Linked DNA regions of Pelodiscus sinensis. The protein of the gene in region 1 purifies or fractionates together with the protein of each later gene. This does not show direct contact. Links are inferred from orthologs where the notes say so. Each region holds a gene or a part of one and is shown on either strand. Other genes may lie near its edges. The genes, in order: AURKA, PPP6R2, MTMR3 and ARFGAP1.

Region 1 (7,979 bases):
TTGCATATATTTTTACTGTGATTTTACAGTTTTGAGGGGGAGGTTGCACAAACTTATTCTTTTGGATCAAATGACTAAGAGACTTATATGATAGGTTGGCATCAAAACTTTAGTTTCCCCTGCCTTTCTTAGATCGGCTTGAAACTGTGCGTCTCCTGGGCAGTAATTGGGGCAGTATTAAGCAGTTCACAAGATACCACCCCTCATCGTCCCTCATCCCTCTTTTATTAATATTCATGTAAGGATGTTTGATCATAGACAGAGATCTTCACACCAGTCTCTCAAATGCTTGACAGCTATCTCAACACAGTGCCTGGTACCCACTATCCTTTTCTTTAATTTTCCTGTACTACACACCACTCTTTGAAGTACTTAATGTCATACCACATGGATTATACTGAGCCTGTGTACAGAAAGGCTAACTGGAAATTACCTCTACTTCATCCCCACCCCACCCCACGACTAAAGTCTTGAATGGCTCATGGAGGACTATTATGATGACCAAACATAAGCCACAGCCTCATGGCAAATCTAACCCACCAGAGAAATCTGAAATAAAAGCAATAGGCGCAATTTGCTCCAATCTGACTCTGTCAAAAGGGAGCTTTGATTCCGTGGAAATGTAATCTGAGTATAGCAGAACAGTCTGTAGGTGTGGATTATTTTTTAAAGAAAAAAAAATACACATGCGATTACTCCCAGGGAAACATGAGAGGGTAGGAGAGTAGATGGGAATAAGAGCAGAGAGTTTGAGTTAGATCAAAGGAGAAGGGATAAATGGGTCTGGTTGGGAAGGACAGGGTTTGAGAAGCTTAGGTGAGGAGGAAGAAAGGTCCATGGAAGCTATAGGGGGCTGGAAGAATACTCCTTTCCCATGTACAAGCAAAAAATCTTAAAGGCCTCCAAGCCCATCTAGAGAGGTATCAATTGCCCTCTTCCCCTCACCCTTAGAATCTGTAGCTCCCCCTCCTGGTGAGCTGGAAACTGCGGGTCCCAGCTCCCACCAGTGGTGTGTCTGTCCCTGTGTCTATATTAGTATCTATATGGTTAGCCCCCACTGCCCAGATGTATTTCCCTGATGAGAGCCAAGCTCTAGAAGAGGTTGGTTGACATAAGATGGGTTGGAAGGTCTCACCTCATCTCCCTATTCCCTTCTCCCATAAGCTAGAAGATTATTATTTTAAAATGCTTATTTTTGTAGTCATTAAGCAGTGTTAATGGGGTGCTATTGTCAATTAGCTACAGCAAGGAAAGAAGGTTCCTGATAGTGAAGGATAAAACAGTAACAAGACATATCTGTCCTCATCCTTACTGTTGCACAAGATTCTGATAAAGTGTGCATCTACTACCTAACACAAAACCATGTGTGTGCATGCGCTGATTCCAAGCATTCATTAAATAAAGTAAACCATACTAAACATTGAGACTAAGAAAAAATGAAATCTGCTTATTAAGTCAGCTATTTGCTACTCATTTTAAAGTTAAGATTCTTTGTTCACTTAGAAACTGGAAAAATCTACTGTGTGACTTCTGGAAAACAAAGTTGTGGAACACAAGATCCTATTGGATGGAAACAACAGTTGGGCCACTCATCCCAAAAGTATTTAATGTCAAATTCTGATTACTTCTTAATTGTGGCAAGTTTTCTATTTTAAAAGTTTATGTTCCAAATATATTTCTATAAGCTAATAAAGACATCACTGATGTGAAAACTACACAAGAAATCTAAATTAGGCATAGCTTTGTTACATATTCCTAGTGAAGTCAGAGTATATGGTAAAGTAAACATGAAGAGTGGAATGTTAGATCACATTTACTCCAGTACATTAAAATAGGTCACAAGTATGGTACCCTAATGAAAGAAACTGAGTTCTTCTGTATGAATTCTGAATATTGCGTTTAATTAGTGAAAAATGAAAAACATGATAGAATCCAAAATAACACTGTAATAAGTAGGATAGAGTTAAATCTGCAAGCATCAAACAGTTTAAGGCAAGCAGATGAGGGTACCAACTATTATTTAAATATGTCCCCCAAAATATTTGTAAGTCATTAATACAGTTCTTGAAATAAAAAGTAACATTAATCAATCTACTTTTATGTACAGTTTTTGTAATTAGGAAATCATTTGATTAAATTGTATTGATTTTGCAGAGTACAAAAGCCTATTGCTGGAACCTTATCATATGCAAGAAGGAAAATTAAGATTGCATAATGTTAGAAACACAAAATTGTATTAGAAATACACACCATACGTTTGAGCAGGAAAGTAAATAGAAAATTGTTCATTGCACAAGAACAGAAGTTATGGCCCAGTATCTAGACAGTTGCACATAGAACAGATGGAATAACTTGGATAAAGATCAGAATTGTGGTAATAATTCTACATCAACCAATACTTGAACTGCAGCAAATAGTGGTATATTTACCAGAAAGTTAAAAATCACAGCAGACATTTGTGAAATATTTTACAATTCTGAATTAATTGAAATTATATTTGGCACAATGTTTAGTGTCATTTTTTCCATTTATTATATTATATTTCAAAGGCACAGTGTGACTCCTGCAAGAGGTGGGCAGGTGCCCTCTGTGTTCCACTACAAACACCCTAAGCAGTAAAAAGAAAGAGTATATAAACTTTGTGCAATTATAGTTGTGATATTTACAAAGTGGATATACTGTATAATTTTAAAATAGATTTTTTTTACAGTTATACAGTCAAAATACAAATGATTAAGTGTTCAATTTTAATGTACATTTAGATAAAGTCACAAAAATAATTCTGTTTCTAAAAATGCTGCCATGCAAAAGGCAGAAGTAAGCAATTCTGGTGACATATTATGTTGATTTGTAAACAATTCTGGTTACATATGATAGATGGGAGCACTCCCATCACAACTTTTTTCTGTGGACCAGAGAATGGGAAGAATTAGAGGTAGCACACTGTGATGGGAGTGCTCCCCTCAGTCATAATATGCTACTTTGGACGAGAAGGTGGAGAAGTATAGAGGGAGCCACAGTGCAATAACAGAATACCTAGATGGCAGTAAGTGGTATCCGCAGTAAACTGTACTATGAACAAGGGAGTACATGCTGAACAACCAAGGGTCCACTATCACCTGCTGGGTGTCTTAACCCATGGGCATCACAAAAATGTGGGCATATACAGACCCCTAGCAGCATGGAAAGGCAGGCTCTAGTCCTGATCTGGAAGCACAGGGAATTCTAACAACAGAAGTTTAGTCCAGAAGAATACAACTAATTTATTTCCAGTGGTAGGAAACGTGGGATGTAATAATCAAGGCATGGTACGCTAAGGAATGATAAAGGAGCAGAGATCAATGGTGATTTCTGGTCAGACATTAGAAAGGGATTAAAGAGCCTAGTAGGATCTGTAGTTGAAATTCAGAACTCCTTGAGTTCAATTCCTATTTTGATGGAGTGAGAGCAGCTTGATCTCAGGAGACTGGACAGGAGAACTGCTACGTTTTATTGGGTCTAGACTAGAAAGCCTAGGGATACTGCATGACATCGCCAATGTGCCACCCACATCCCAAGCCTTGCAGGAAGCCAGGCCTCTAAGATGACTGCAGAATTTAGTCGACAATAGGATGGCACTTTCAGACAAGGCACTTCAGGGGGCATCAGCTGAGGGCCTATCCCAAAAGAACAGCTCCCACCCCACCCCACCCCACAGGCGGTCCAACTCACCTCAGCCTCTAGAAAAGGCAGCCGCAGTGGCCGTGGCTCAGGAGGTAGGGGGCCCACGTTATTCAGGCCTCGGGGAAGCAGGCGTCTTTCACAGGCGGAGGGAAGGCGACGGCCTGACAGCCTCCTCACACCTGGCCTCGCCGCCATCGATCACTCGTCAGCGCCACACACCGAGACCACAATCACGCTTGTCCTCACGAGCGCGGGGGCAAGGGGAGCTGCCTTGGAGCACACGCCTCCAAAGGCCTCACGTTGTCCTCAGGCCGGATCGCACAATGGATCGAGGGCCCCTTGACAGCCCCGGTCCTAGGGGAGCCGCCTCACCGCTAAGTACAACGACACTGCCCAACGGCCCGCTGGCGTCGGTGCTCGAGCGCCCACGGCCCCGCCGGTGCGACACGATGGCTCCGCGTCTCCTTCGCGTTTGCGCTTCACAGCCCCCTGGGCCCCGTCACTGGCCGCACGTCACCGCTGGCGCGACACGCTGCCCAGTGACCCCCTGACGTCCCCGCGCGACGGCCACGGATCCCACGTCCCCGGCCACGGGTGCGACACGCTCGTAAGGCAACAGCCGCCCCTCTCCCCAGAGCAGGGGGTCTAAGCACCGTCTAGCGCAGCCTTCCCTGTCTCCACCCTCAGCCGCGCCGCGCACGCTCTCTGCGCCGGGCCGTAATGGCCGGCCAGGAGCCACTGATTGGCTACGCTTCAACCGCGCCGCCCGCCGATTGGTTCCGAAGCGTGCCTCTGGTCGCCGAGCGAGCCTGTCCCCACGTCACGGGCACGGCTCGAGCGCAGGCGTGCCCACGGCCTGCCGCGCCTTGCAGTCCCTAGGGTGGGTTTAACGCGACGTGCGTGCTTTACGCAGCAGTTGCCGCTCGCTTCTTCCGCTAGTTTCGTAGATGGAGGCGCCCGTTACGGAGTTTACTTTACACAATCACCGCGTGCTCGGTCTTTACGCAAATCGCGTCTCTCCAGCCCAGCTCCTGTCCACGCAGTTACTAGCAGCGGATTTGGACTTGCAGTTTTCCCGCGCTAGGGTTTATTTTGGGGGAGGGTGGAAGTTGCCAAGTTTGGTGTGTGTGGGGGTTGTCTTTTTAAAATGGTTGCTTCCAACTGACCCTCAGCGAGGGAAGCGTGGCGACCATTTTGAAAAGAAGCTCCACCCCCGCGCGGGCGTGAGCTCGCAAGCACGTCGCTTCCACAAAGATTTTTCCCGCCCTTCAAGTTAGCCAATGGCCGCGGCCCTGGTCACGTGGGATGGGGAGGCCAATCATGTATCTGAATTTTAAAAATAGCAGATTGGAGTAACAGGCCGCTTTGTGTTCACGTGGCTGAGCGAGACCAGTCGGGGGCCTCCGCGGGCGGGCACCTTAAACAAAAAAAAAACCCAAATCTCCATCAGCCGATCGTTTAATTATCTGTTGTACGGGCTATTCACCGCTACTACGCGGTGTGTGCGGGGGGAGAGCTAAGTTAGTTACAGGCGGTAAAGTGCTGAGCAGAAGCCGGATCCCGCCCTGCCCAGGGGGTGACTGGAGACTACACGCTTCATCCGTGGTGCAGCAGCACTGCCAGGGGCGAGCAGCGTTTAGTGTCCGGCAACGCTGCGCGGCGAGGGAGGTGAGACTGGGGAGCAGAGGCGGGGCGCTGGTCGGGCCAATGGAGAGCGGCGGCGGTTTAAAGGGTATCGCTAGGAGGGCGGTTTGAATTCAAACTGCTCTGACGGCGGTGACGGTGAGGAGACCTCGGGCGCTGGGGATGGGGTCGCCTCGGGGGCTGTAGTGTAGGGACGGAGGGGAACGGGGCTTCCTGGGGGCTGTACGATTGCGGCCGCGTTCGGGGGCTTCTCGAGTGGGGGGGGAGTGAGTTGGGGGGGTTGCAGCGGGGGGGGGCTTCTCAGATGGGGAGAGGGTGAGTTTATGGAGGGGTTGCAGCGGGGGGGTCAGTTTATGGAGGGGGTGCAGCGGGGGGGGGGGTCAGTTTATGGAGGGGGTGCAGCGAGGGAGGGTTTCCCAGGCGGGGAGTTTCCTGCAGGTGGGCGAACGTTGCAGCAGAAGGGGAATTGTGAGGCCTGTGCAGTTGCCTTTGAGGCAGTTTGTGAGCAGGAGCTGCGGGGAGGTGACGCCTTGTAATGGGGGAGAGGGTTGTCCGAGGAGCTGGATTTGAGGGGCAGGATCCAGGGACGGGGGGTTGTACGAGGAGGAAGAGCAGCTGAAATGGACACGGGGTTCCTAGACTCGGATTTTTCTGGCGGCTGGGAACCATCATCATCTACTCTCCCGGTGGTAACGAGAGGCGATTGAGCAGGACCGGATGTGGGAGACTACCAGTAGCGTGAGTGTGAAAACTGGATGTGGTGGTGTGGATGAGGATAGCAGAACGTAAGGGGGTGGGGGGCATGAGGAAGAAGTGTAGGGGGTGACAAGAAGGGTGCTCTGTTTATAAAAATTTCCATTTAATAATGTCTCTGCAATTAAATGTTCTCTATTTAGGTAACATGGAGAAAAATGGTAAAGAGAACCACAATGGGCTTCCTGGTCACAGTGTTAAGGTAAAGAAGTCTTGTACACTTGCGAGGCAAACACATTTTATTTGGTATGATCAGACAAAGATTCTACAAATTATCTGAGATAATTATCCAACTCTTGTATTGAAGCATTATACTCTGACATGGAATATTCACCAAGCTGCTTTGTCAGTAGCTCACTATTGTGAATACAACTTGTAAAGCTTCTATATATAGATTGCTTTCACATGTCGTAGGTGTTAAAACGTTTTCTTGTGGGGTGGCAGCTTAATCCATTCTGGGATGTATTGGTGGGAATGTTCCAAACAAGACACAAGATCTACATGTTTTGTTAGTCTTTAAAGTGCTGTTACACTATTTAAAAAAAAAATTTCAAGACACGAGATGTAATTCTTCCACCCCACTCAACATTGATAAGATCTGGCTGAAGTATTGTGTTCAGTTCTGAGCACCATACTACAATAAAAAGGGCTTCTTTTTAGTCTAGAGCAGTGGTTTTCAGACTACCAGTTGCAATCCAGTATTGGGCCACTGAATGTCAGGCACTGGGTCCCCTTGCTGTAGGATGACTAGTGGGGGTGGGAGGGGAACTAAAGCTGGCTTCCTGCCTGTCCTGGTACTGCACTGTGCCCTGGAAGCAGCCATCAGCAGATCTGGCTCCTAGGCAGAGGACCACTAGGTTATGAATACTGCCCCCCACCAAAAACACTGGCTCTGCACTTCCATTGACCAAGAGCTCAGGGTGGGGCAATGTTGTCTGTGGGCAAGAGCAGTATGCTTGCCTGCCTAGGAGCCGGGCCTGTGCCGGCATCTTCTGGGTGCGGTGTGATGTGCAGTTCCAGGACAGGCAAGAAGCCTGCCTTAGCACCCCCACTGTGGCTGCTTGCTGACTAGGAGCTGTCATAGGTAACCCTGTGCCCCTTCCTCCAAACCCAGCTCACTTCTGTACCCCAAATCCTTGGCCCCACGTAGGAGCTGGCACTTTAGTCAAACTTTGTTGGGTTACAAGCATCAATCATTTTCTTCAACTGGGTCACAAGAAAAAGTTTTTAAAAATCACTGGTCTAGAGAAGAGAGGGAATATAAGCATTTAAGTGCATGAAAGGTTGTTAGAATGAGGAGGATAAAATTGTTCTCCTTATCCACTGAGGACAGGATAAGAAGTAGTAGATTTAAATTGAAGCAAGGGAGATTTTAGGTTAGATATTAGGATAAACTTCCTAACTGTAAGAGTAGATGAATTCTGTAATAAATTGCTTATTGGAGGTTGTGGAATTTGTCAGAGGTTTTTAAGAATAGGATAGACAAATACCTGTAAGGGTGGTCTAGATCAGTGGATTTAAAACGTTTTTTTTCTTGTGTTGCCCCTAGGGATGTTAGTGATTAATTGAATAGTCATGTAACCGCATCAAATTTTAACAGTCCCTGGGGGCAGGACTGGCAGCCAGTGCGCTCCTGGCCCCACTCCCAGGGAGCCCCCTGCCACCCTGCTATTGGGGGTCTGAGCTACCTCTGGACAGAGGCTATGCCAGCATCCCTAGAAGCAGTTTCCCCTTTCCCATTGATGCTGCTGCCTCTGATAGGCCAGCTCCCACCTGCCCACCATCCTGTGGCAAGTGGCGTGTGAGAGTCAATCCGTGTGGGAAGCTGGCTTAAAATCCCGCTTCCCATGTATATAGGCTTCCACTTGCCCCCTCACGCTGCCCACTGCTGCTTCTCTGAGAGGCAGCAGCACTGGGGT
Region 2 (7,468 bases), on another chromosome or scaffold:
GTAATATGGAGCAGAATCTGGCCCAGTGACTAGAAACTGCATTAAAATCATTTAACAGATGTAGATATTGGGATAGAGAGTACGCTTATTAAGTTTGCAGATGATACCAAACTGGGTGGGGTTGCGACTTCTTTGGAGGATAGGGACATAATTCAAAATGACCTTAGCAGGTTAGAGAAATGGTCAGAGGTAAACAGGATGAGGTTTAATAAAGAGAAATGCAAAGTGCTCCACTTAGGAAGGAACAATCAGTTCCATACATACAAGATGGGAAGCGACTGTCTAGGAAGGAGCATGGCGGAAAGGGATCTAGGGGTCATAGTGGACCACAAGTTGAATATGAGTCAACAGTGTGATGCTGTTGCAAAAAAAGCAAATATGATTCTAGGTTGTATCAACAGGTGTGTTGTAAGCAAAACTCGTGAAGTCATTCTGCCGCTCTACTCTGCACTAGTTAGGCCTCAGCTGGAGTACTGTGTCCAGTTCTGGGCGCCACATTTCAAGAAAGATGTGGAGAAATTGGAAAGGGTACAGAGAAGAGCGACAAGAATGATTAAAGGTTTAGAGAACATGACCTATGAAGCCAGGCTTCATGAACTGGGCTTGTTTAGTTTGGAAAAAAGAAGATTAAGGGGGGACATGATAGCGGTTTTCAAATATCTAAAAGGGTGTCACAAGGAGGAAGGCGAAAATTTGTTCCTCTTGGTTTCTGAGGACAGGACAAGGAGTAATGGGCTTAAAGTGCAGCAGGGGAGGTTTAGATTGGACATTAGAAAAAAATTCCTAACTGTCAGGGTGGTCAAATATTGGAATAAATTGCCAAGGGAGGTGGTGGAATCTCCCTCTCTGGAGATATTTAAGGACAGGTTAGATAGACATCTGTCAGGGATGGTGTAGACAGAGCTTGGTCCTGCCTTGAGGGCGGGGGGCTGGACTCGATGACCTCTCGAGGTCCCTTCCAGTCCTTTTATTCTATGATTCTATGATTCTAACAGACTATTGTATTTGTCCAGATAGAGAGAAATCCCTTTACCAATACAAACTATATTTGGTGTCCTTTCCCTCCTATGTGTCTGTCCAAGATACTGATTGTTAAGCTTTAAATCTGAGCTTGACTGTTCGTCTGCCCTGTAATCTGAGTCTTGGAAGATGTAATTGTCAAGGGAGACATCTGGAGCTCACCCAGGATCTGTGCTGGCCTTGTGCCCATTATTGTTCCTCTTTGAAATGACAGTGCACATTTCTTTAGTATGTCTTCTGCCTATTGTTTGCTTCTCAGAGGTTCCTAGACCTATCACTACCATTCTTACTTAATCTTTTTGGCAAACACTTGCCCAGATAAAATGTATGTGTGGTGGTGACAGCTGTACGAATTTCCTTGATTCCTTGAAGGCATTTTATAGAAGGGGAAAACTATTTGGCTGAATTCGCTGGTCTTTTTGGTTCACATGGACTCCACTTTAATATTCTTAATCGGACTTCTCAAGCCCTTTCTCTACAAATAAACAGATTTAAATGATCTTAAATTCCTTTTAAATTTTTGCTTCATTTGTCTCCTCGGTAACTTAGCCTATTTAGTTGTCCAGGGAGAAATTCAGTGCCATAATACAATTTTTCTGCAATCTGAGATGCATGTGTATCTGAGATCCTAGACTCAACAAATTAAAGGTTGTATTGTAATATTGTATCGTCTGGGAAAACTTGTGACCTCATGGTTAAAGACTGCACCAGAAAGCATACACATGGTAACCGAGGCAGGCTTTGGCATTCAATCTTAACATTGATATTTCTTAACTTTTTGACGGGTTCTGATGATCTGAGGCTTGGCCCCGGAGTATTTCACTTGGTTGTTGTAGAGCTTTTACTTGGGCTTCCCAAGTGTTCTGGGCCTGTGACATTTAGGAATTCTGTGGCAGAGAGATGCAGAGAACTTCTGGTCTGCAGAGAAGGTAAGTAAGCTCCCAAACTCTAGACTAGAGGACGAGGCCTGCCAGAGTTCAGTTTTCCTGAGGTATCTAAGAACCACGGGTCCAGAGTTTTATTCCTATGAAGTTCCCAAATTCTGACCATATTTTTGCACTTAAGGTCCTGCAGAACTTAAGCGTATTTGGGGGCTGACCTCACCAAAGCTCTCACTAATCTCTCCTCAGATGGCAGTCATTCCATACCCCTAATATTTTTATGTTGCCCTTTTCTGAACTTTTTCCAATGCCGATGTATCTTTTTTGAGAGGAGGCGACCACATCGGTACGCGGTATTCAAGACGTGAGTGTTCCATAGATTAAAAGAGAGGCAATAAAATATTCACTGTCTTATTCTCTATCCCCTTCTTAATGATTCCCAGTATCCTGTTTAAAAGTCATCGAAGAGGCCCTGCCTTAAAGAGCTTACAGACTAACTCCAGGTCTACTGGAAACATTTGCAGGTGTAGTAACACCAATTAGGAATTGTGTGTGTGTGTGTGTGTGTGTGTGTGTGTGTGTAATAAGCCTATATTTGCAAAAGTCCTAGTGTGGATAGAGTTCTACTAGTAAAACCACCCTTATACTGTATACATTATACTACCAAAAACACTTTTTTGCCTGTATAAACTGTGCCTACATTAGGGGTGTATGCCGGTTTAGTGTTACTGGAAAAAATCTTTTCTCCTGAAGACAGGGTTGCCAGGTGTCCGGTTTTCACCCAGACTGTCCGTTATTTGGGTCCCCCGTCCGGTTAAAAAACCAGAAAATACTGGACATGTGAACTGTCCAGTATTTCCTGTTTCCCTCGGACAGAAGCCCGGCGGGGACAATTTTCCCCTGCAGTGTCTGGTGGGGGCCGGGGAGTTAGGAGCACAGGGCCATTTAAAGTCGTGGTGCCCCTTTTTTTTTTCTTAACAACTTTGGTTTCCCCCTTTTTTTTCTCAACGGAATTTTTCCTGGTGTTTTGTTTTGTTTTTTTGCGGGGAGGGGGGAGATGTTCGGTATTTTTTGTTAAACCATCTGGCAACCCTACCTGAAGATTTGGCCATCATCTCCAAACCTGCAAAGACTTGCATGTGAGTAACTTTATTTATGTGAGTAGCCCTTTAGACTTCCATGAAATAACACAAATGCTGAACATTAAGACTGAAAGTATTTGCAGGATGAAGGCCTAAATAAGACAGGCAAAGGGAAGACAAGACACACTGAGAGACTATGGGAAATGGTCCAATGTGACATTTTTCAAATTCCAAGTAATCATTTTCTTGTACCAGGCTGGCATGTAGAGGGCAGTTGAACTGATTTTTAAAAAGAGCTTCAGAGAACATCCTGGCAATTACAGGCGGGATGGGGGTGGATCAGGGCGGGAAAGAGCGGAGCAGGAGTGAGGCCTGGGGTAGAGGTGAGGGTTGTCCCAGCCCTCCTCCCTAAGGATGGTAGAAGAGAAATCATGGTTTTTTTGGGGGCTGAGGGGGCGCTGGTCAGTACCCAGCAACTGGTAGAAACTATGGTAAAAACAAAATGATCAGACCAATCAATAATGTGTTTTGTGGGGAAAGAGCCAATGTGGCTTTTCTAAGGGAAATCATGCCTCACTAATCTATTAGGATTCTTTAAGGGTGTTAACAAGCACATGGATACAGGGAGTCAATCAATATTTATACCAGGTCTTTCACCAAACTTAAGAACATAAGTACCCATAGTATAAGTAGCCATTCTCCCCCACGCCAAATGCCATTCCCACCCGCCACGGAACCTTCCCATCCTCCTCATGGAACCTTCCCATCTCCCTTCCCCATGCCCATGGAACCTTCCCCCTCCCGCCCATGGGACCTTCCCATCTCCCCTCCCCATGCCCATGGGACCTTCCCATCTCCCCTCCCCATGCCCATGGAACCTTCCCCCTCCCGCCCATGGGACCTTCCCATCTCCCTTCCCCATGCCCATGGAACCTTCCCCCTCCCGCCCATGGGACCTTCCCATCTCCCCTCCCCATGTCCATGGAACCTTCCCCCTCCCGCCCATGGGACCTTCCCATCTCCCCTCCCCATGCCCATGGAACCTTCCCCCTCCCGCCCATGGGACCTTCCCATCTCCCCTCCCCATGCCCATGGGACCTTCCCATCTCCCCTCCCATGGGACCTTCCCATCTCCCTTCCCCATGCCCATGGAACCTTCCCCCTCCCGCCCATGGGACCTTCCCAGCTCCCCTCCCCATGTCCATGGAACCTTCCCCCTCCCGCCCATGGGACCTTCCCATCTCCCCTCCCCATGCCCATGGAACCTTCCCCCTCCCGCCCATGGGACCTTCCCATCTCCCCTCCCCATATCCATGGAACCTTCCCCCACCCCATGGAACCGTCCCATCTCCCCTCCCCATGCCCATGGAACCTTCCCCCTGCTCCTACCCTGGAGCTGCCCAGCGGCTTCACGTGCCTGTCACTCCATTGGCCCCGCCCACTCCGCGCGGCAGGCCCGCCCCCTTCCCGGGTCTGGGCAGGCCGCTCCCGCCGCCATTTTGGAGCGAGCGAGCCTGAGGCGTCCGAGCCCTCAGCCCGGCGCCCGGTGACAGCGCGACCCGCCGCCGCCCCTCGCGCCTCTGCAGCCGGGGAGCGGCCGCGCCTCGGGCCGCGCGGGGAGGCCCCGAGCAGGTGAGAGCGCGGCCGAGCCCGGGGTCCCTGGGGACGGAGCCGCCGCGCGCCCGGCTCCCTGCCGGCAGCGCCCCCCAGCCCCCCCGGGCCCCCCGGGCCTGCCCCCCCGAACCTCCCGAGCTCCCTGCCGGCAGCGCCCCCCAGCCCCCCCGGGCCCCCCCCGGGCCTGCCCCCCCGAACCCCCCCGAGCTCCCTGCCGGCAGCGCCCCCCCGGGCCCCCCCGGGCCTGCCCCCCCCGAACCCCCCCGAGCTCCCTGCCGGCAGCGCCCCCGAGAGCCCCCCCCGGGCCCCGCCGAACCCCCCCCGAGCTCCCTGCCGGCAGCGCCCCCGAGAGCCCCCCCCACCCCCCCCCGAACCCCCGCGAGCTCCCTGCCGGCAGCGCCCCCCAGCCCCCCCGGGCCCCCCCCGGGCCTGCCCCCCCGAACCCCCCCGAGCTTCCTGCCGGCAGCGCCCCCCCGGGCCCCCCCGGGCCTGCCCCCCCGAACCCCCCCGAGCTCCCTGCCGGCAGCGCCCCCGAGAGCCCCCCCCCGGGCCCCGCCGAACCCCCCCCGAGCTCCCTGCCGGCAGCGCCCCCGAGAGCCCCCCCCCACCCCCCCCGAACCCCCGCGAGCTCCCTGCCGGCAGCGCCCCCCAGCCCCCCCGGGCCCCCCCCGGGCCTGCCCCCCCGAACCCCCCCGAGCTCCCTGCCGGCAGCGCCCCCCCGGGCCCCCCGGGCCCCCCCGGGCCTGCCCCCCCGAACCCCCCCGAGCTCCCTGCCGGCAGCGCCCCCGAGAGCCCCCCCGGGCCCGCCCCCCCGAACCCCCCCGAGCTCCCTGCCGGCAGCGCCCCCGAAAGTCCCCCCCGGGCCCCCCCGGGCCTGCCCCCCCGAACCCCCCCGAGCTCCCTGCCGGCAGCGCCCCCGAGAGTCCCCCCCGGGCCCCTCCGGGCCTGCCCCCCCGAACCCCCCCGAGCTCCCTGCCGGCAGCGCCCCCGAGAGCCCCCCCAAACCCCCCGGGCCTGATCCCCTCCCGAGAGCCCCCCGGTCCCGCCCCCATCGGGCCCCCCCGAGCTCCCTGCCGGCAGCGCCCCCGAGAGCCCCCCCAGCCCCCCGGGCCTGCCCCCCCGAACCCCCGAGAGCCCCCCCTGAGCTCCCTGCCAGCAGCGCCCCCGAGAGCCCCCCCAGCCCCCAGCCCCCCCGGGCCTGCCCCCCCGAACCCCCGAGAGCCCCCCCGGGTCCCCCCCCCGAGCTCCCTGCCGGCAGCGCCCCCGAGAGCCCCCCCCCGGGCTGGCCCCTCGAGCTTGACCCCCCCCGAGCCCGCCCCGAGCTCCCTGCCGGCAGCGCCCCCGAGAGTCCCCCCCGGGCCCCTCCGGGCCTGCCCCCCCGAACCCCCCCGAGCTCCCTGCCGGCAGCGCCCCCGAGAGCCCCCCCAAACCTCCCGGGCCTGATCCCCTCCCGAGAGCCCCCCGGTCCCGCCCCCATCGGGCCCCCCCGAGCTCCCTGCCGGCAGCGCCCCCGAGAGCCCCCCCAGCCCCCCGGGCCTGCCCCCCCGAACCCCCGAGAGCCCCCCCTGAGCTCCCTGCCAGCAGCGCCCCCGAGAGCCCCCCCAGCCCCCAGCCCCCCCGGGCCTGCCCCCCCGAACCCCCGAGAGCCCCCCCGGGTCCCCCCCCCGAGCTCCCTGCCGGCAGCGCCCCCGAGAGCCCCCCCCCGGGCTGGCCCCTCGAGCTTGACCCCCCCGAGCCCGCCCCGAGCTCCCTGCTGGCAGCACCCCCGAGAGCCTGCCTCCCCGAGTACCCCCCGGGCCTGCCCCCCCTGAGCTCCCTGCCCCGCCCAGCCCCCTGCCCCCCGACCCCCTCCGGGCCTGCCCCCCCGAACCTCCCGAGCTCCCTGCCAGCAGCGCCCCCGAGTCCCCCAGGAGCCTGCCCCCCGAGCCCCCCGAACTCCCTGAGCCCCCAGTGCCCCCCCGCGCTCCGAGCCCTCAGCGCCCCCGAGGCCTGCCCCCAAGCTGCGTGATCCACTGAGGGCCCCCTGAGCTGTCTGACCTCCCAACACTTCCCCAGCTGTCTGATCCCCCCCTCCAGTGCCCCCCTGAGCTGCCTGACCCCCCAGCACCCCGAGCTGTCTGCCCCCCTGTGCTCCTCCCCAGCGCCCCTGAGCTGTCTGACACTCCCAGCACCCCCCCAGTGCTCCCTGGAGCTGTCTGATGCCCCCCCCAGTGCCTCCCTGGAGCTGGCAGTGCCCCCCCATACCTCTCAGAGCTGTCTGACACCCCCTCCCAGTGCACCTGGAGCTTTTTGTGCCCCCTTAACTCCCAAAGCTGTTTGACCCTTCTCCCATTACCTGCCCCGGAGCTGTCTGAGCTCCCGGTGATGCCTCTAGCCCCCAGTGTGCCTGCCCTGTGAGCTCCCTTACCAGGTGTCTTCCTCCTTTGGGTGTGCCTATCACCATGGGCCTCCCCTGAGGTGACTAAGCCCTCCTCCCAGTTGAGGTGTCTACATCCCTGGATGGACCTGCTCCAAAGTGTGTGTTGTCCTCCCTCCCCTGGGAATCTGAGCCATCATGAGCTCTCCCCCATAGTGTCTGCCCTCTAGCCTCATGAAGCACGTGAGGCCCCCTTTATCCAATGTGCCTGCCCTCTTGAGCTCCCTCTCTCTGGATATATCTGAGCCCCCCATAGAGATGCCTGTGGATCTAGATGTGCTTCACTCTCCCAACATCCATGAGCCCTCTCCATGGAAACATCAGTCCCCCCCACCTCCTGCTTGCCTTCCTGTGGTACCCTGAGCTTGCCTGCCTCACCATGTACTCATCAGTGTGTCTGCTTCCTGAGTCTCCCCATGTACTCCCCAAGTTGGCTCCTTGTGAGACCTGTGATC
Region 3 (7,444 bases), on another chromosome or scaffold:
CCATGGCCTTCTTCTCTCCCCTCACTTTTGCCTTTGCCTCCTGTATTGTATAATCACGTTCATCTTGAACAACCTCTTATTAGTTCTCCCATCAGTTACATCCTCTTCTGCTTTGACCTTGTTTGTCACTGTTCCACGTTCTCCCCCTACCTCCGTGCCCGAGTTCCTTGTCCCAAAGAGTGATTTGAAGACCTTTCCTCCTCCGTAAGGGTGCATAAGTCGCACTGCAATAGGAAAAAACCTTTTCAGTTAGTTGGAATCTTCCCCCACCTCCAATCTGTCTTCCAGGCCTTTTTATAACCTTGTCAATAATCAACGTGTGTGTGTGGCTTTTCTGTGGCCTGTGTACCCTGGCCCCTCCGCCCCCCCACCTCGCAGGCAGGGGCTGCTCCTGCACATAAAAAGGTTGGAGACAACTGCTTGAAACGTGTGAGGTGGCTCTGGATCTAGGAGCGTGCCCATGACATCTGTGTTCATTGTGGGAATTGGCAAAGCTGTTGCGACTCGGTGCGTCTATGCTGCACCGATTTTCCGGGAAAACGACCATTATTCTGGGAAAAACAATCCTAGCATCCACACAGCAATTGCGTTTTTTTGAAAGAAAATTGAAATAACGGAGGGCTTTTTTCGACGTTGGTAAACCTCATTCTACGCGGAATAAAGCCTCTTCCAAAAAAGCTTTTTCGGAAAAGGATGTTTGTGGACGCTCTACTGCTGCTCTGTCAAAATAGCTCCTCCCCAGTGCCTCCTGGGGCTCTAAATCGAGAGAGCGCATCCAATATAGGGGAGCCCACCTCGGACTAATTTTGAGGCATCCCTGTAGTATGGATGCTCTCTTTTGAAATATGCTATTCTGGAAGCTCTCTTGCAGTGTAGATACACAGCTCTTGGGGTACGTCTATACTACATGCCTCCGTCGACGGAGACATGTAGATTAGTTTATTTGAAAAAGGGAAATGAAGCGTAGATTTAAATAATCACCGCTTTATTTAAACGTAAATGGTTGCCGCGCTGAGCCGACAAACAGCTGATCAGCAGATTGGGTAGTCTGGACGCACCGCGGTCGACAAGGAAGCCTTTGTCGATCGGTGCAGGTAAACCTGGTTTCACGAGGCATACCTGCGCTGATCAACAAAGGCTTCTTTGTCGACAGCGGCGCGTCCAGACTGCCCCGATCTGCCGACAAACATCTGATCGGCAGAGCGGGGCAGCCATTTAAATTTAAATGAAGCCGCGATTATTTAAATCGCGGCTTCATTTCCCTCTGCCGATCTGTCTAATCTACATGCCTCCGTTGATGGAGGCATGTAGTCTAGACACCCCCTTATAGTGTAGATGTACCCTCATTGACAGGGCTTGACAAACTGCAGTGAAGTCTACTCGCCAGCCCCACACTGCACATGTGCAAGACCCGCATTGCGCATGCACGCGCCGCCGGTAAATGGGGCGACTGGCTGAAATCTACTCGCCACGGGCGAGTTGATTAACTAATTTGTCGAGCCCTGCTCATTGAAACTTAGAGAGGTGAGGCACCGCATACCTCTACCAGCCTGGTTGTAAATTTATTTGGGGGCATTTATCTGATCAAGTGTAAGATTGAGACCTCTTCATTCACACACAGTAACAAATCCGTGTGGACAGCTAATAATATTAGCTCCGGTATAGTATGTCCAGCACATGCTGTTCCCTTTGGAATACGTTCAGTACCGTTACTCTGTTAATGAGCTGAGTGTCATCCGAATAACCTACTTGTATATCGAACAAGGAAAAGCAACCCTGGGCTAAATAAGGAGGACCCGAGACGACTCTCTTGAAAATCCATTGATGCAAAGACGAAGGTCACTGGGTTCAGCTGTACCCACTGTGTCCCAAAGGCGGCTTTGCTGAAAAGTTCTTCCCTGATTGGCGTCAGAAGGGGAAAATTATCCCAGCAACAGCAGGGTTTCTCAGCTGAACGGTAACTCTCCCAACAGAACAGAAGCCCTCGTTTTCTGTGTAGCTAACTAGGGTATGCAGGGCTGTTGTGCTCACTCTAGTACTTAGGCAAGAAATTTAACTTGACTCAACTGGTTGAACTTGTGTTTTTAAAATAGTTTGATTTACATCCCTCCCCCGGCCACATGTGAAGATAAACAGCACTACAGAAGGGAGCAGTCCATGTAATGACACATGCAAGCACTCTGAAATCTCTTGGCATGTTGGGTTTTTGTGTTTTAGTTTGATGGTGCAATGTAGGCCACATCTGGAGTATTGTGTCCAGTTCTGGGCCCCCCGCTACAAAAAGGATGTGGACGCATTGGCGAGGGGCCAGCGGAGGGCAACCAAAATGATTCGGGGGCTGGAGCACATGACCTACGAGGAGAGGCCGAGGGAGTTGGGTCTGTTTAGTCTGCAGAAGAGAAGAGTGAGGGGGGATTTGATAGCAGCCTTCAACTTCCTGAAGGGAGGTTCCAAAGAGGATGGAGAGAGGCAGTTCTCAGTAGTGACAGACGGCAGAACAAGGAGCAATGGTCTCAAGTTGTGGTGGGAGAGGTCCAGGTTGGATATTAGGAAAAACTATTTCACTAGGCGGGTGGTGAAGCACTGGAATGGGTTCCCTAGGGAAGTAGTGGAGTCTCCATCCCTAGAAGTGTTTAAGTCTCGGCTTGACCAAGCCCTGGCTGGGTTGATTTAGTTGGGATTGGTCCTGCCTAGAGCAGGGGGCTGGACTTGATGACCTTCTGAGGTCTCTTCCAGCTCTATGGTTCTATGATTCTAGGGTTTTTGTCATGACTCTAAGTCAGGCCTGGGCAAAATACGGCCCTCGGGCCGGGGCCGGCCCACCAAGTCACCGGATCTGGCCTGTGGACCCCACCCGTTGCTCAGAATTGGCTGTGGGCAGGTTTCACTTTAAAAACTGAAAGGAGCTGTTCCCGCCCCCAGCACAATCTCACTGGCCGGCTTCTAGCCAGAAACTGGCCAATGGGGAAATGCCTTTTTAATAACAGGCAGCCACGAAGCACAAGGGGGTTGTAGTTATTCGCAGAGCACGTGGCTGCAGCCTGTGTGGAGGCGGGGTAGGCAGGGACGCGGATTCAGAAAAGGGCTGCTGGCTGGTAAGTCTCCTGGCCAGATCTTCCCTCTGCCCCCCCATTCCACATACCCAAATCCTCTGCACCCATACCCCCTCTCATATCCAGCACCTCAATCCCCTGCCCCAGATCAGTCCCCTCCTGCCCTAGCTCACAGCCCAAACCCCTGTACCCCCTCCTGTACCTCAATTCCCTGCCCTAGCTCACAACCCTAACCCCTGTACTCCAATTCCTTGCCGTAGATCACAATCCAACCCCTGCTCCCCACTCCAGTGCCCTAGGTCTCACTTGCCTCCGTCACTCAAATTTGCTCCCTTTTCCACCTAACCTTCATCCGGCACCCCACACTCCCTCCATTAATATCATGGAAGAGTGTGGCCCTCAACCACTTTCCAAATTCTCGGAGTGGACCTCCCCTGCCCCCTTTCCAAAATGATTGCCCACCCCTGCTCTGAGCAAATAGCATATTTGTGGGAAGGTTCTGAATTTTCTCTGTCGCCACTGCTGTTCATACTGCTGGTGACAGCAAATTCAAGTCAATGGGTCATTATATTCTGGTTGGATACCCATTATAATTCAATTATCCCTTTTGTCTGTATTCAGTGAACCTTCTTTATTGGACTAACTCCCACAGGAAGATAATGCGCCTTTTCATTTTGGAGAGAGTCTTAGTAGCGTGTCTTTGGCGAGGGCAAGGTAAACATTTTGCCGGTCTGCCCACTGACGTTGCTTGTAGGTTTTGGTTTGTGGGTTATAGTTTTGGTACATGGGGCTGTGTTGTACAGTAGTTTATTTGTGTGGTGCTTCTCCCTCCCCCTTTCCCTTTTTGGATTGGAATCTTTATTGCTTGCATCGGAGTATGAAAGGATTATCACATGATTTCGGCATGTTTGTTTAGTTCACACAGTGCTGGAGAACTTTTTTTTCCAACAACATAATACATTCGAACTGGAGGAAAGAACTGACGCTGGGAAATATACTCCTCCGTTGAGTTAAGTTCTCCATGGTTCATGTTGCTTTGGGCTTCCCTTGTGTTTCAGATCTCTCCTTTTTGTAAAAAGCTGCATCCCATACAGCCGTGGTCACCAACCAGTAGATCGCGATCTACCGGTAGATCTCGGAGGCTCTAAGAGTAGCTCTTTAGCCCTCTCTGAACTGCGCGCCTGCGCAGTACATTTACATTAGTTTTCCCACTCACCGAGCAACAGCACAGGTGAGTAGCTGCGAGGAATGGTGGGAATTTTTTTTTAAAGTAGCAGTATAAGGATTGGGGATAGCAAGTGATGGAGAGGAGGAGAATAGAGAGGGAAGGGGCGGGGCGGTAGATCTTGGCTTGGTCTGTCATTTAAAAAGTGATTTTTGGGTGTAAAAAGGTTGGAGACCACTGCTTATACAACCACCTGTGATACTGAATTTCTTAGCATTGTGAAACAAGAGAAGGGCTTCCCCAGTAAAAACATCTGAACTGGAGTTGTGTGGGAAGTTAAATCTGGCTCCGTTCATATGCCACAAACTTCTAACGCTTCACGGTTCAACAAAATGTCCCTTTTCCAGGAAAACGAAGCAGACCTGCTGTTTAAAAAAGTAGTAAAGAAGTGTGATAAATATGATGCTGTTCTCAGTGACATTTTTCCAATCTGATTGCCATAAATAGGTTTGCGTAGATGTAACTGCATGAAAGTTGGGAAGCAAGTATGATGCATAATAGAAGAAACTCTGACTTAATTGTATTGGATCTAGTGTTCTTACTTAATTATGTTGGACCTGGAGGAACTCCCCACCTGCTATGGACAGGCGGCGGTAGGGGCTGCTCCGGCAGTTCCTGCTTGTGTTTGCATGACTGGAGAGGCAGTTTTTCGATGAGGTGTTGAGAAGGCTTACAGTAGAGAATTTTCCCCAGCTCATGGCCAATGTATGGACTGCAGAGGTTACTTTCGTCCACCCTTTCGCTCCATGCCCCGAAAAGGCACCATTCCAAACTCTGATCTTTGCTTACCATGTCATCGTGCTATTTGTAGTAGCAAGCTGATCCCGAAACGCCTCTTAAGCCTGGTTCGTTATATCGCTGTCTTTCTCCTCTCTGAACTTTGCCTTCAGGAAATGCTCAGGTTGATATTTTAAACCGAATGAAACTTGCCCGTGAAACTCCTAACCCTTTTATCTTCAAATAGCACATTCAGCAAAACAAGAGTCCCGTTGTAAAGGACTTCTGACTCTGCTCAGCCTGTTGATCTTTTATTTTTCGGTATCAGCAATTCTCAAACGCTGGATCGGGACATCAAAGTGGGTTATGACCATAGTTCCCACGACTGCGCAGCCGCCTAACAACTACCGTTGTGGGTTGACGCTAATGTCCCCTCTTAGCTGTGCAGCTGCCTAGTACTCCCTGTTGCAGGAATTAGGGCTGCGATTGCCAGGAGAGACACCTCTCTCCCCCAGCAATGGTATCTCCCTGCTGGGGGGTGTATCTCTCCTCTCCATGGTATAGTACTGCGTTGGACTGGCATCAGACCCCTTTCCCACAATGCCTGTTCTTACCTCTCTGGTCATCTGTTTGTGCTCTATTGCCCTGCTGTCAGATGACCAACCCTCAGACCTGTGCTTTTACGGTCTTTTTGAAATTTGAAAGTCCCCTTCCTGTTTGATCGGCAGTGCATGGTGTGTTCTCAGTGCATCTTCCCAGCTGGCCAGGCCTGCTTCATGAACCAGGAGATCCCCTACTTGCAGCCAGGCTGAGGTGCTGGACCTCATCAGCGTTTGGGGAGAGGAGGCCGTCCAGTCCCAGCTGCACGCCAGCTGTAGGGATTGATACCTCCGGGCACATGTCAAGATGCATGACTGAAAGGAGCCATGACCGAGATGCACTATAGAGCAAGCCCGAAGTGAAGGAATTGCGAAACGCCTACCGCAAAGAAGCTTGGTTCTGTGTGTTGCAGCTACCAGCACAGGGGCGGTCAGATGGTGAACAGAGTGTCGTTGCTTCTATTACTTCACGGTAATCTGCCTCACAGATCTTATTGAAAGTGTCATGCAGCTGCTGTGCCGTGAGTCTTCGCAAATTTGCTGGCCGAACAAATGTGGTCTTTTATCCCTGAAGGCTGCTATTAAGCTTATTAAGTTTATTACGCTTATTAAGTGTGCAGATGATCCCCAGCTGGGAGGGGTTGCAACTGCTTTGGAGGAGAGGGTTATAATTCAAACTGATCTGGACAAACTGGAGGAACGGTCGGAGGTAAACAGGATGAAGTTTAATAAGTACAAATGCAGAGTGTTCCACTTAGAAAGGAACAATCTGTTTCACACATAGGGAATGGGAATAGCGATAGAAATGTAGCCGTGTTAGTCTGGTGTAGCTGAAACAAAAAACAGGACTATGTAGCACTTTAAAGACTAACAAGATGGTTTAATAGGTGATGAGCTTTCGTGGGCCAGACCCACTTCCTCAGATCAAATAGTGGAAGAAAATTGTCACAATCATATATACCAAAGGATACAATTAAAAAAATGAACACACATAAAAAGGACAAATCAAATTTCAGAACAGAAGGGGATGGGGGGGGGAGGTAAATGTCCGTGAGCTAATGATATTAGAAGTGATAATTGGGGAAGCTATCTTTATAATGGGTAAGATAATTAGCGTCTTTATTCAAACTTGAGTGTAAAGTGTCGAATTTAAGCATGAATGACAGTTCAGAGGATTCTCTTTCAAGTGAAGTCTTAAAAGGCCTTTGAAGCAGGATGCAGGTAATCAAGTCGTTGAGACAATGTCCTTTCTGGTTGAAATGGCAAGAAACTGTTTTTTCTTTGTGATCCTGTCTAATATCTGTTTTGTGGGCATTGATCCTTTGGCGAAGTGTCTGAGACGTTTGTCCAATGTACATAGCAGACGGACACTTTCGGCACATGATTGCTTAAATTATATTTCTGGATGCTCAGGAATATGTGTTCTTGATCTTATAACTCACTTGGTTAGGTCCAATAATGGTATCAGCAGAGTGAATATGTGGACAAAAGTTGGCAACGGGGTTTGTTGCAAGGGAAGGTACCAGGGTTGGTATTACTGTGGTATGTCCTGTGGTTGTTGGTAAGAATCATCTTGAGGTTAGGTGGTTGTCTATAGGAGACTATGGGTCTGTCTCCCAGAGCCTCTCGGAGTTCAGTATCCTGTTCCAGTATACTTCCAGGGAATGGGAAGTGACTGTCTATGAAGGAGTCCTATAGAAAGGGATCCATAGGGGGGGGCAGAGGGGACCACAAGCTAAATATGAGTCAACAGTGTGACGTTTTTGCAAAAAAAGCCGACGTGATTCTGGGCTGCGTTAAAAGGAGTGTTGTGAGCAAGACAGAAGAAGTCATTCTTCCGCTTTGCTCTG
Region 4 (7,369 bases), about 8.6 Mb from region 1:
AAGACTAAGGTCCCACTCCTGCAAAGACTTACACAAATGAGTAACCCAGGGAAAATAATTAAGACTGCTGGAATGTCTAGATTTAACTGTGTTAAGTCTTTGCAGGATTAGGACCAAAAGTGCTTACTATAATTAACTATAGCATTAAGTGTCAATAACAAGTACAGCACTTTTGAAAACACAGACAAAACCACTCTAATTAATATATTTATTTTGGGAGAAGTCATCGTGGAATGCTTTCTAAGATGCCTTCTTCCCAGAAGCAGGCCAGCTTAGTGTAAACGACCTTATAGTTAACCACTCGTGGAGTAGGAGTGTTTTATTTCTAAGAAGTGCCATTAGGAAATCAGAGGGTGCAGTGTAGAGCAAAAAGCTCCAGGTCTTATCACATTTCCCACCAGTGGCACTTGGAGGTTATTGAAGAGATACAGAAAGCTAAAAATGTGCCAGGTTTCGTTGTTAGGATTTTATTATTATTGCTACATAAGTTATAATTAATTACAATGCAGAAACTGAATGATAACATTTATTGCAAATCTCCCCATCTGATCAGTCCTTGGATTTACTACATTGAGGCAATGTCTACACTACAAGTTTTTGTGACAGAGAGTATGCTAATGATGGATTAATTAGCATGAGTCGCGATGTCATTAGCATATTTTCTGCCAATGCTTTTTGCGCAAAGGTTATTTTTGCGCAAAAATAAGCAGTGTAGCCACTTCCATTTTGTGCAAAAAAAACCCCCTTTTGCGCAAAATCCTTATGCCTCTCCGGAATCTTGCACAAAAGGGTTTTTTGCGCAAAATGGAAGCAGCTACACTGCTTATTTTTGCGCAAAAACCCCTTGTGCGAAAAGCATTGGCAGAAAATTTGCTAATGACATTGCGACTCATGCTAATGAGTCGATCATTAGCATACTCTCTGCCGCAAAAACCTCGTAGTGTAGACAAAGCCTGAGTTACGTAAACATGTTAAAAAGAGGGACCACATACTCACTTGTTCCCTTTCAGTTTAAGCCAGTGGTCTCCAACCTTTTAAAGCATGAAATCACTTTTTGAATTTAAGTGCAATCCAAGATCTACCTCAAGCCTAAATACCCTTGTACAATACCCAAATACATATTTGAAGTCCAACTAGTAGCCAGTCAACCAAGAAAGATAGAATTTGACTTTTTTTTTCTGAGTCCTAGATGTTAATATTTAAAATGTTTGCTTACTCCCACACTACAGATATCTGTCTCCAATTTCAGAGATGGCAATGGGGTTATGTACCTGTCCCAGATTCGAGGAACAGAGCAATTCAAACTTGCTAGGGAACTGCATTGATTCATTTGTATGCTGTGTATGAGAGACATAGTGCTACATCTACACTACAAGTTTTTGCAGCAGAAAATATGCTAATAAGGGACTCATTAGCATAAGCCGTGATCTCATTTACATATTTTCTGCCAATCCATTTTTTTGCTAGGGGTTTTTGCACAAAAATAAACTGTGTGGATGTTTTCTTTTTGTGCAAAAACCCCTTTTTGTACAAGATCCTTATGCCTCAAAAAAAAGAGGTATACTGATCTTGCGTAAAAAAGGGTTTTTGTGCATGAAGGAAATGGCCACACTGCTTGTTTTTGCGCAAAAACCCCTAGCGAAAAAATGGATTGGCAGAAAAAATGCAAATTAGATCACGCTTTATGCTAATGAGTCCCTCATTCAGGACCGGATTAAGGGGGGGTTAGCCGGGCAGCTGCCCAGGACGCCAACCTATGGGGGGCGCCTGATGGCAGCTATAAGGGGCACCGCGCGGCGCCCCTTAGAGCTGCAATCAGGCACCACGTGCCCGATTGCAGCTGTAAGGTGCACAGTGCGCTGGGGGGCGGGACCGTGCATGTGCCGTGTGCCCGGGGTTTGAGCCGCGCATGTATCACGCGCCCGCTGCTGGAGGAGCAGGAATGGCTTGAGCCGGCCCTGCCCTCATTAGCATATTTTCTGCTGGAAAAACTCGTATAGACGTAGCCAGTGCTGGCTTTGTCTCATTACCACTGAATGAAAGGCCCTGATCCTGTAATCCTCACACAAGTACTTACTCCTATTTCTGATTTATTGTGTGAGTGAAGACTTCTTTCATGTTAGGAAGGGTTGCAATATTGCTACCACATGGTGCAAATGTAAGCATCTAGATCTATTTATTGTTCCATGCAATTCATAACTTATATCTTCTGTAAAAGAGCAAGCAATGCATTAATATGCTCCCACATTATTAGTGGCAATTTTGATTCAGTCAGCCAAGGCTGCCACTGGAAGATTATGCTGCCCAGACAGTGTTAGAATGTTCCTCTTTGGTATATTAACCAAGAATAGAGACAGTATTAATACCTCAGTGCTGCATCATTTGTGGCATATGAATAAATGTTGCACAACAGTGCTCCCTTGAGGCTGCAAGCATAAAGTATTGAATATGCAAAATAAACCTATCAGACACACTGCAGAATCAATGCTGATACCAACCACTGTGCCCTAAATCAATTATAGAAAAAGTATGATTGATACGCTAATTAGATTCTCATATAGTGTGTATATAATGGGAACCTCATTTCATATTAGTTCATATTACCAGAAAATAATGGTACTTATCAGAAGAAGTCACTTTGTCCTTAACTGGAAAAGCAAATTATACAGATAGGCTACGTCTACACTGGCCCCTTTTCCGGAAGGGGCATGTTAATTTCAGAGATCGCAATAGGGAAATCCGCAGGGGATTTAAATATCCCCCGCGGCATTTAAATAAAAATGTCCGCCGCTTTTTTCCGGCTTCAAAGTAGGAATAAGATCCTCCAGAAAAGGGCTTTTTTTCCGGAGGATCGGGGCCAGTGTAGACGCTCTTTTCCGGCTTTTCTAAAAGCTGGAAAAAAGCGGCGGACATTTTTATTTAAATGCCGCGGGGGATATTTAAATCCCCCGCGGATTTCCCTATTGCGATCTCTGAAATTAACATGCCCCTTCCGGAAAAGGGGCCAATGTAGACGAGCCCGTAGAATTTACTTTGTTTCATTGCCCGCCTCCAATGTACACATATTTGGAGTCCATTATTTTCTCTTTAATGTAAGGCAAGGATTATGCATGTAGCCACCATTAATAGTAAAAAGAGTTATTCTTGTTAATCCCCCATATAACCATGGCAGGACAATAGACCATTTACTATCAAGGCTGGAACAGGTATAGCACTGAAAATGAGTAGCATATGGTCTCTGTGGCCGGGGTGGGGAACCTCAGGCCCAGAACCCCCCAGCAATGGGAAGCCTGCACTGGTGCTCCAGCCGCCTTGCTGCCTCACCACACAAAATCTACTAATCTGGGGTCCCTTAGGCTCTGGTGAGCAAGGGGGAATGTGCAGAATATCTTTCTCCTCTGTTGGGGGCCACATCAGTGGGGGCTCGTTTTTTGTTTTTCACTTGTGTGTGGCTCTGACTGATTTTTCTGTCCGTCAGTGGCCCCCATGCTACTGGTGCATCTACACTGCACCGCAGGTCGAAATGAGCTACGCAATTTGAGCGATGCAAGCTGCGTCTCTTAGGCTACGTCTAGACTGCAAGCCTCTTTCGAAAGAGGCTGTTTCGAAAGATACTTTCGAAAAAGCTTCTTTCGATAAAGAGCATCTAGACTACAATCAGTACTTCCGAAAAAGCAAACTGCTTTTTCGAAAGAGAGTACCCAGGTAGGCTGGATGCTCTCTTTCGAAAAAGCAGTTTGCCTTACATAGCACCTTTTTTTGAAAGAGCCCTTTCGAAAAAAGGCGTTCTTCCTCGTGAAATGAGGCGTACCGCCGTCGAAAGAAAAGCCGATTTCGAAAAGAGGCGTCCTTGACTGCAAACAGGCGTCTCTTTTTCGAAAGAGAGCATCCAGACATTGATTTTTAATTTCGAAAGAACGCGGCTGTAGTCTAGACGCAGGGGAAGTTTTTTCAAAAAAAGGCGACTTTGTTCGAAAAAACCCTGCAGTCGAGACACAGCCCAAGTGACGTGAATAGCTATTGGGGACCCCCCCCAGTGACGTGAATAGCTACTGGGGACCCCCCCTTGGGGACGTGAATAGCTATTGGGGACCCCCCCAGTGACGTGAATAGCTATTGGGGACCCCCCCAAGTAACGTCATTAGCTACTGGGGACCCCCCCTTGGGGACGTGAATAGCTATTGGGGACCCCCCCCCCGCAATAGCGCTGCAGTGCAGACAAACTCCCCAGGGGCGGAGTCTCTGGGCGGGCTCCTAGTGCGGAGGGGGGCGGGGCGAGTCCCGCTGAGGGCAGCGTCGGGCCCTGTCGTTGGCTCACTGGAGCCGCCGCGTCGGTCGCTCTCGGGCGTCCGACGGCCCCGCCCAGCTGCCGCGCAGGCCGCCGGGCCCGAGGGGGTTAACCCCTTCTCCCCGGCCCAGCATGCTTTGCGAACGTGCAACGTCGCCGGGTTCGGCGGCGGCTGCGCGCTGAGGAGCCGGGTGCGAGCAGGAGCCGGGGCCGCCGCAGCAGGTACCGAGCCGGCCCCTCCCCCCTCCGGCCCCGACTTCCCTCAGCGCCCCCCCCCCCCCCCGCGGGCTCCTCTGGGCCTTGACCGCCCCTCCCCCTGTCCTCGGGCCTGGTGGGGGGCTCCCCGGCGGGGCGAGACGGCAGCCGCTGCAACCCCCCCCCAGCCCCCCCGAGCCCTGGGTCGGTCGAGGCAGCCCCGGACGTGAGGTCCTTGCCGGCCGGTCTCACTGCCGCCGGGGCGTGTCCCTTCGCTGGGACCCGCCTGGCCCTTGGGAGCCCCCCCCGGACCAGCCATCCGTGCAGGGGGGGCCCGGATCAGCCCCTCCCCCCCCCCGACCAGCCATCCGTGCAGGGGGGGCCCGGATCAGCCCCTCCCCCCCCCCGACCAGCCATCCGTGCAGGGGGGGCCCGGATCAGCCCCTCCCCCCCCCCGACCAGCCATCCGTGCAGGGGGGGCCCGGATCAGCCCCTCCCCCCCCCCGACCAGCCATCCGTGCAGGGGGGGCCCGGATCAGCCCCTCCCCCCCCCCCCGACCAGCCATCCGTGCAGGGGGGGCCCGGATCAGCCCCCCCCCTCCCCGGACCAGCCATCCGTGCAGGGGGGGCCCGGATCAGCCCCCCCCCCTCCCCGGACCAGCCATCCGTGCAGGGGGGGCCCGGATCAGCCCCCCCCCCTCCCCGACCAGCCATCCGTGCAGGTGGGGCCCGGATCAGCCCCCCCCCCATGACCAGCCATCCGTGCAGGTGGGGCCCGGATCACCCCCCCGGTAGTTGCATTCCCCCCCCCCGCCCCCACTTGATGGTTTGATCTTGCCCTGGAAAGGCAGAAAGGTTAAAATCATGTGGTCCAAAAAAAAAAAAAAAGGCAGCCCTGGTCCAGTGAGACTCTCCCCTGCGCCTGTGAAGAGCCTTACTCTTCTGCTCCCCCCTCCCCGAAACCTCCTGGGGCGAAGCCTCCATCCTCATTACGAATCTGGCCACGTGCTGATACCGTCTTCAATGGGTTGGATCTGGGTGTACAGCAGGGGGCTCAAACTCAATTTACCTTCGGGCCAGGGCCTGTCCTTAAAGCCTCCTAGTGAGCCAGCGGGTACCCCTCTCTGACCGGGCCTGGGCGTGTGTGTTTGTCCATGTGTTCTTCACCCTCCCCCGTCTGCTGGCCCCTGCGCTCCCCTGTGTTTTCCCACCTGCTGCCCCAAGGCAATTTAAGAGCCCCCTTGGGGGAAGGGTAGCACCACCACTCTGAGCCACTGCTGTCAATTCCCTGTGGCTTGAGGGAGATATGCGAAGAGTTGTCCCATCATTAGGATGATTCGGGGTGGTCTTCCCAGGCCTTGCACTTTGGTGGGGTCCTGTGATGGTCACTCCAACCATTCTGTGGACAGGATGGTCCCCAATACTCAGGTTAGTCTGTGGGGCCTGAGTGGGCCAGTGTTGTCAGCGGTGGTTGGAGCCCCCCTCATTCACCATAGCAGTGCGAGCTGCGGAAAAGCAGAACTACACAGCAGCCTGCTCTGACTCCCATCTCCCAAGGCAGCCTGGGCTGGGGCTGAGGCATTCTACTTCTGGCCACTGTGGTGAAAAAGCAAACACACTAGCCTGGAAGATGATGGCAGAGAGAAATTTTAGTTTTATTATTTCTAATAGGGATGTTAAATATTGACTAATTGATTAGTCGATGCATTTTACATCGACTATTTGATTAGTCGATAGCGTGTCTCTGCCTTTGAAGTGTAGCAAAAGCCCTAGGGAGCCCAACTTCCAAACAAAATAACACATTTTAATTGTCTTTGCCAGTTTCCTCAGCTGAGTTCTGAAAGATGACCAGTATCTGTAAATGTGTATGTAAAAAACCAGCTCTTAGGGTATTACTATTGGTTGTGGCTTAACTCGTAGATCAGGGGTTTTCAAAGTTGGGTTGTGGGCCCATCCGCATAAGTTGCTGGCAGGCCACGAGATGTTTTGTTTTTTTTAGTGTCCATAAGCATGGAGCCTTGTAGCTCCCATTGACTTTTGCCGTTTCCAGTCAAGGGGAGCTGCGGAAAGCAGCAGCCCAACGCGCACAGCTCCCCGTGGCTGCAAATAGTGATCCAAAGCCAATGGGAGCTGCAAGGCTCTGTGCCTATGGATGCTAAGATAAACAAAATATCTCACAGCTCAGCAGCGACTTACCTGCGCAGGCCTGTGACCCAACTTTGAAAACTCATGCTTTTGCCTACCGCAGAACCCCATTTATCCAATCTAATTGGGACTGAGACCTGATTGGATAATCAGCAATCCAGATAAACTGAAGAATGGGAAAGTCTAATGCTGCAGTGCCAGGTAGTAGCCACAAGAAAGACTGCCCCCTTCTGGACCTTTGTGCACTGATTATCAGTACAGACAGCCAGATAATGGAAGGTCAGAGTTCTGTTATAGTTCTAGGTTGACTTTAATGACGTTGTGATGCTTGGAACAGATGAATCCATAATTGAAAAAACATTCACATAGGAAAATAAACACTGAGGGAGTCTTGATCACTAGGGATACTGGAGGGGGAGATAGTCTGAACACAGAACTGGGAGCCAGGGACTTTAGAATTCTAATGGTGCTTCAATAGGTCTCTCACTAGCCCTGGTTAATTCACTTAACCTTTTTCTGCCTCGCTTTCCCCATCTGTACAATGGATGTACTTGTCTATCTCTCAGAACTGCTGTGAACATGCATGACTTCTATAGCACTATAAAGTTGGTGTGATCATGGCAGTCACAACTTTCACTGCAATGCTTTCTCTTGAGTAATGGACTCTCACTCTGGAGCTATGTTATCTGAATCAGGAACTGAAGTTCTTTCTGCACTTGGGTCCTCTGCTTTTTGCCAGCC

What was found.
Region 2: the proteins of AURKA (region 1) and PPP6R2 purify together in Homo sapiens (affinity purification with mass spectrometry; 4 studies listed by BioGRID and IntAct, counting the BioPlex papers as one, with this or other methods). This does not show direct contact. The link is inferred for Pelodiscus sinensis from reciprocal best matches to the Homo sapiens genes AURKA and PPP6R2.
Region 3: the proteins of AURKA (region 1) and MTMR3 purify together in Homo sapiens (affinity purification with mass spectrometry; 3 studies listed by BioGRID and IntAct, counting the BioPlex papers as one, with this or other methods). This does not show direct contact. The link is inferred for Pelodiscus sinensis from reciprocal best matches to the Homo sapiens genes AURKA and MTMR3.
Region 4: the proteins of AURKA (region 1) and ARFGAP1 purify together in Homo sapiens (affinity purification with mass spectrometry; 3 studies listed by BioGRID and IntAct, counting the BioPlex papers as one, with this or other methods). This does not show direct contact. The link is inferred for Pelodiscus sinensis from reciprocal best matches to the Homo sapiens genes AURKA and ARFGAP1.

What each region holds. Positions count from the first base shown.
Region 1 is NC_134728.1:15,105,988-15,113,966, forward strand, and holds the start of AURKA (aurora kinase A), read left to right. Parts: upstream 1-4,971; 5' UTR 4,972-5,331; intron 5,332-5,358; exon of another isoform or gene 5,359-5,445; intron 5,446-5,742; exon of another isoform or gene 5,743-6,045; intron 6,046-6,203; 5' UTR 6,204-6,208; coding exon 6,209-6,262; intron 6,263-7,979. Other genes in the region: CSTF1 (cleavage stimulation factor subunit 1), read right to left, coding at 3,712-3,858. UniProt on the Homo sapiens protein: Mitotic serine/threonine kinase that contributes to the regulation of cell cycle progression.
Region 2 is NC_134711.1:649,357-656,824, forward strand, and holds the start of PPP6R2 (serine/threonine-protein phosphatase 6 regulatory subunit 2), read left to right. Parts: upstream 1-4,458; 5' UTR 4,459-4,615; intron 4,616-7,468. UniProt on the Homo sapiens protein: Regulatory subunit of protein phosphatase 6 (PP6). May function as a scaffolding PP6 subunit. Involved in the PP6-mediated dephosphorylation of NFKBIE opposing its degradation in response to TNF-alpha.
Region 3 is NW_027465935.1:199,476-206,919, forward strand, and holds the start of MTMR3 (phosphatidylinositol-3,5-bisphosphate 3-phosphatase MTMR3), read left to right. Parts: upstream 1-4,438; 5' UTR 4,439-6,066; intron 6,067-7,444. UniProt on the Homo sapiens protein: Lipid phosphatase that specifically dephosphorylates the D-3 position of phosphatidylinositol 3-phosphate and phosphatidylinositol 3,5-bisphosphate, generating phosphatidylinositol and phosphatidylinositol 5-phosphate.
Region 4 is NC_134728.1:6,522,996-6,530,364, reverse strand, and holds the start of ARFGAP1 (ADP-ribosylation factor GTPase-activating protein 1), read left to right. Parts: upstream 1-4,364; 5' UTR 4,365-4,510; intron 4,511-7,369. UniProt on the Homo sapiens protein: GTPase-activating protein (GAP) for the ADP ribosylation factor 1 (ARF1). Involved in membrane trafficking and /or vesicle transport.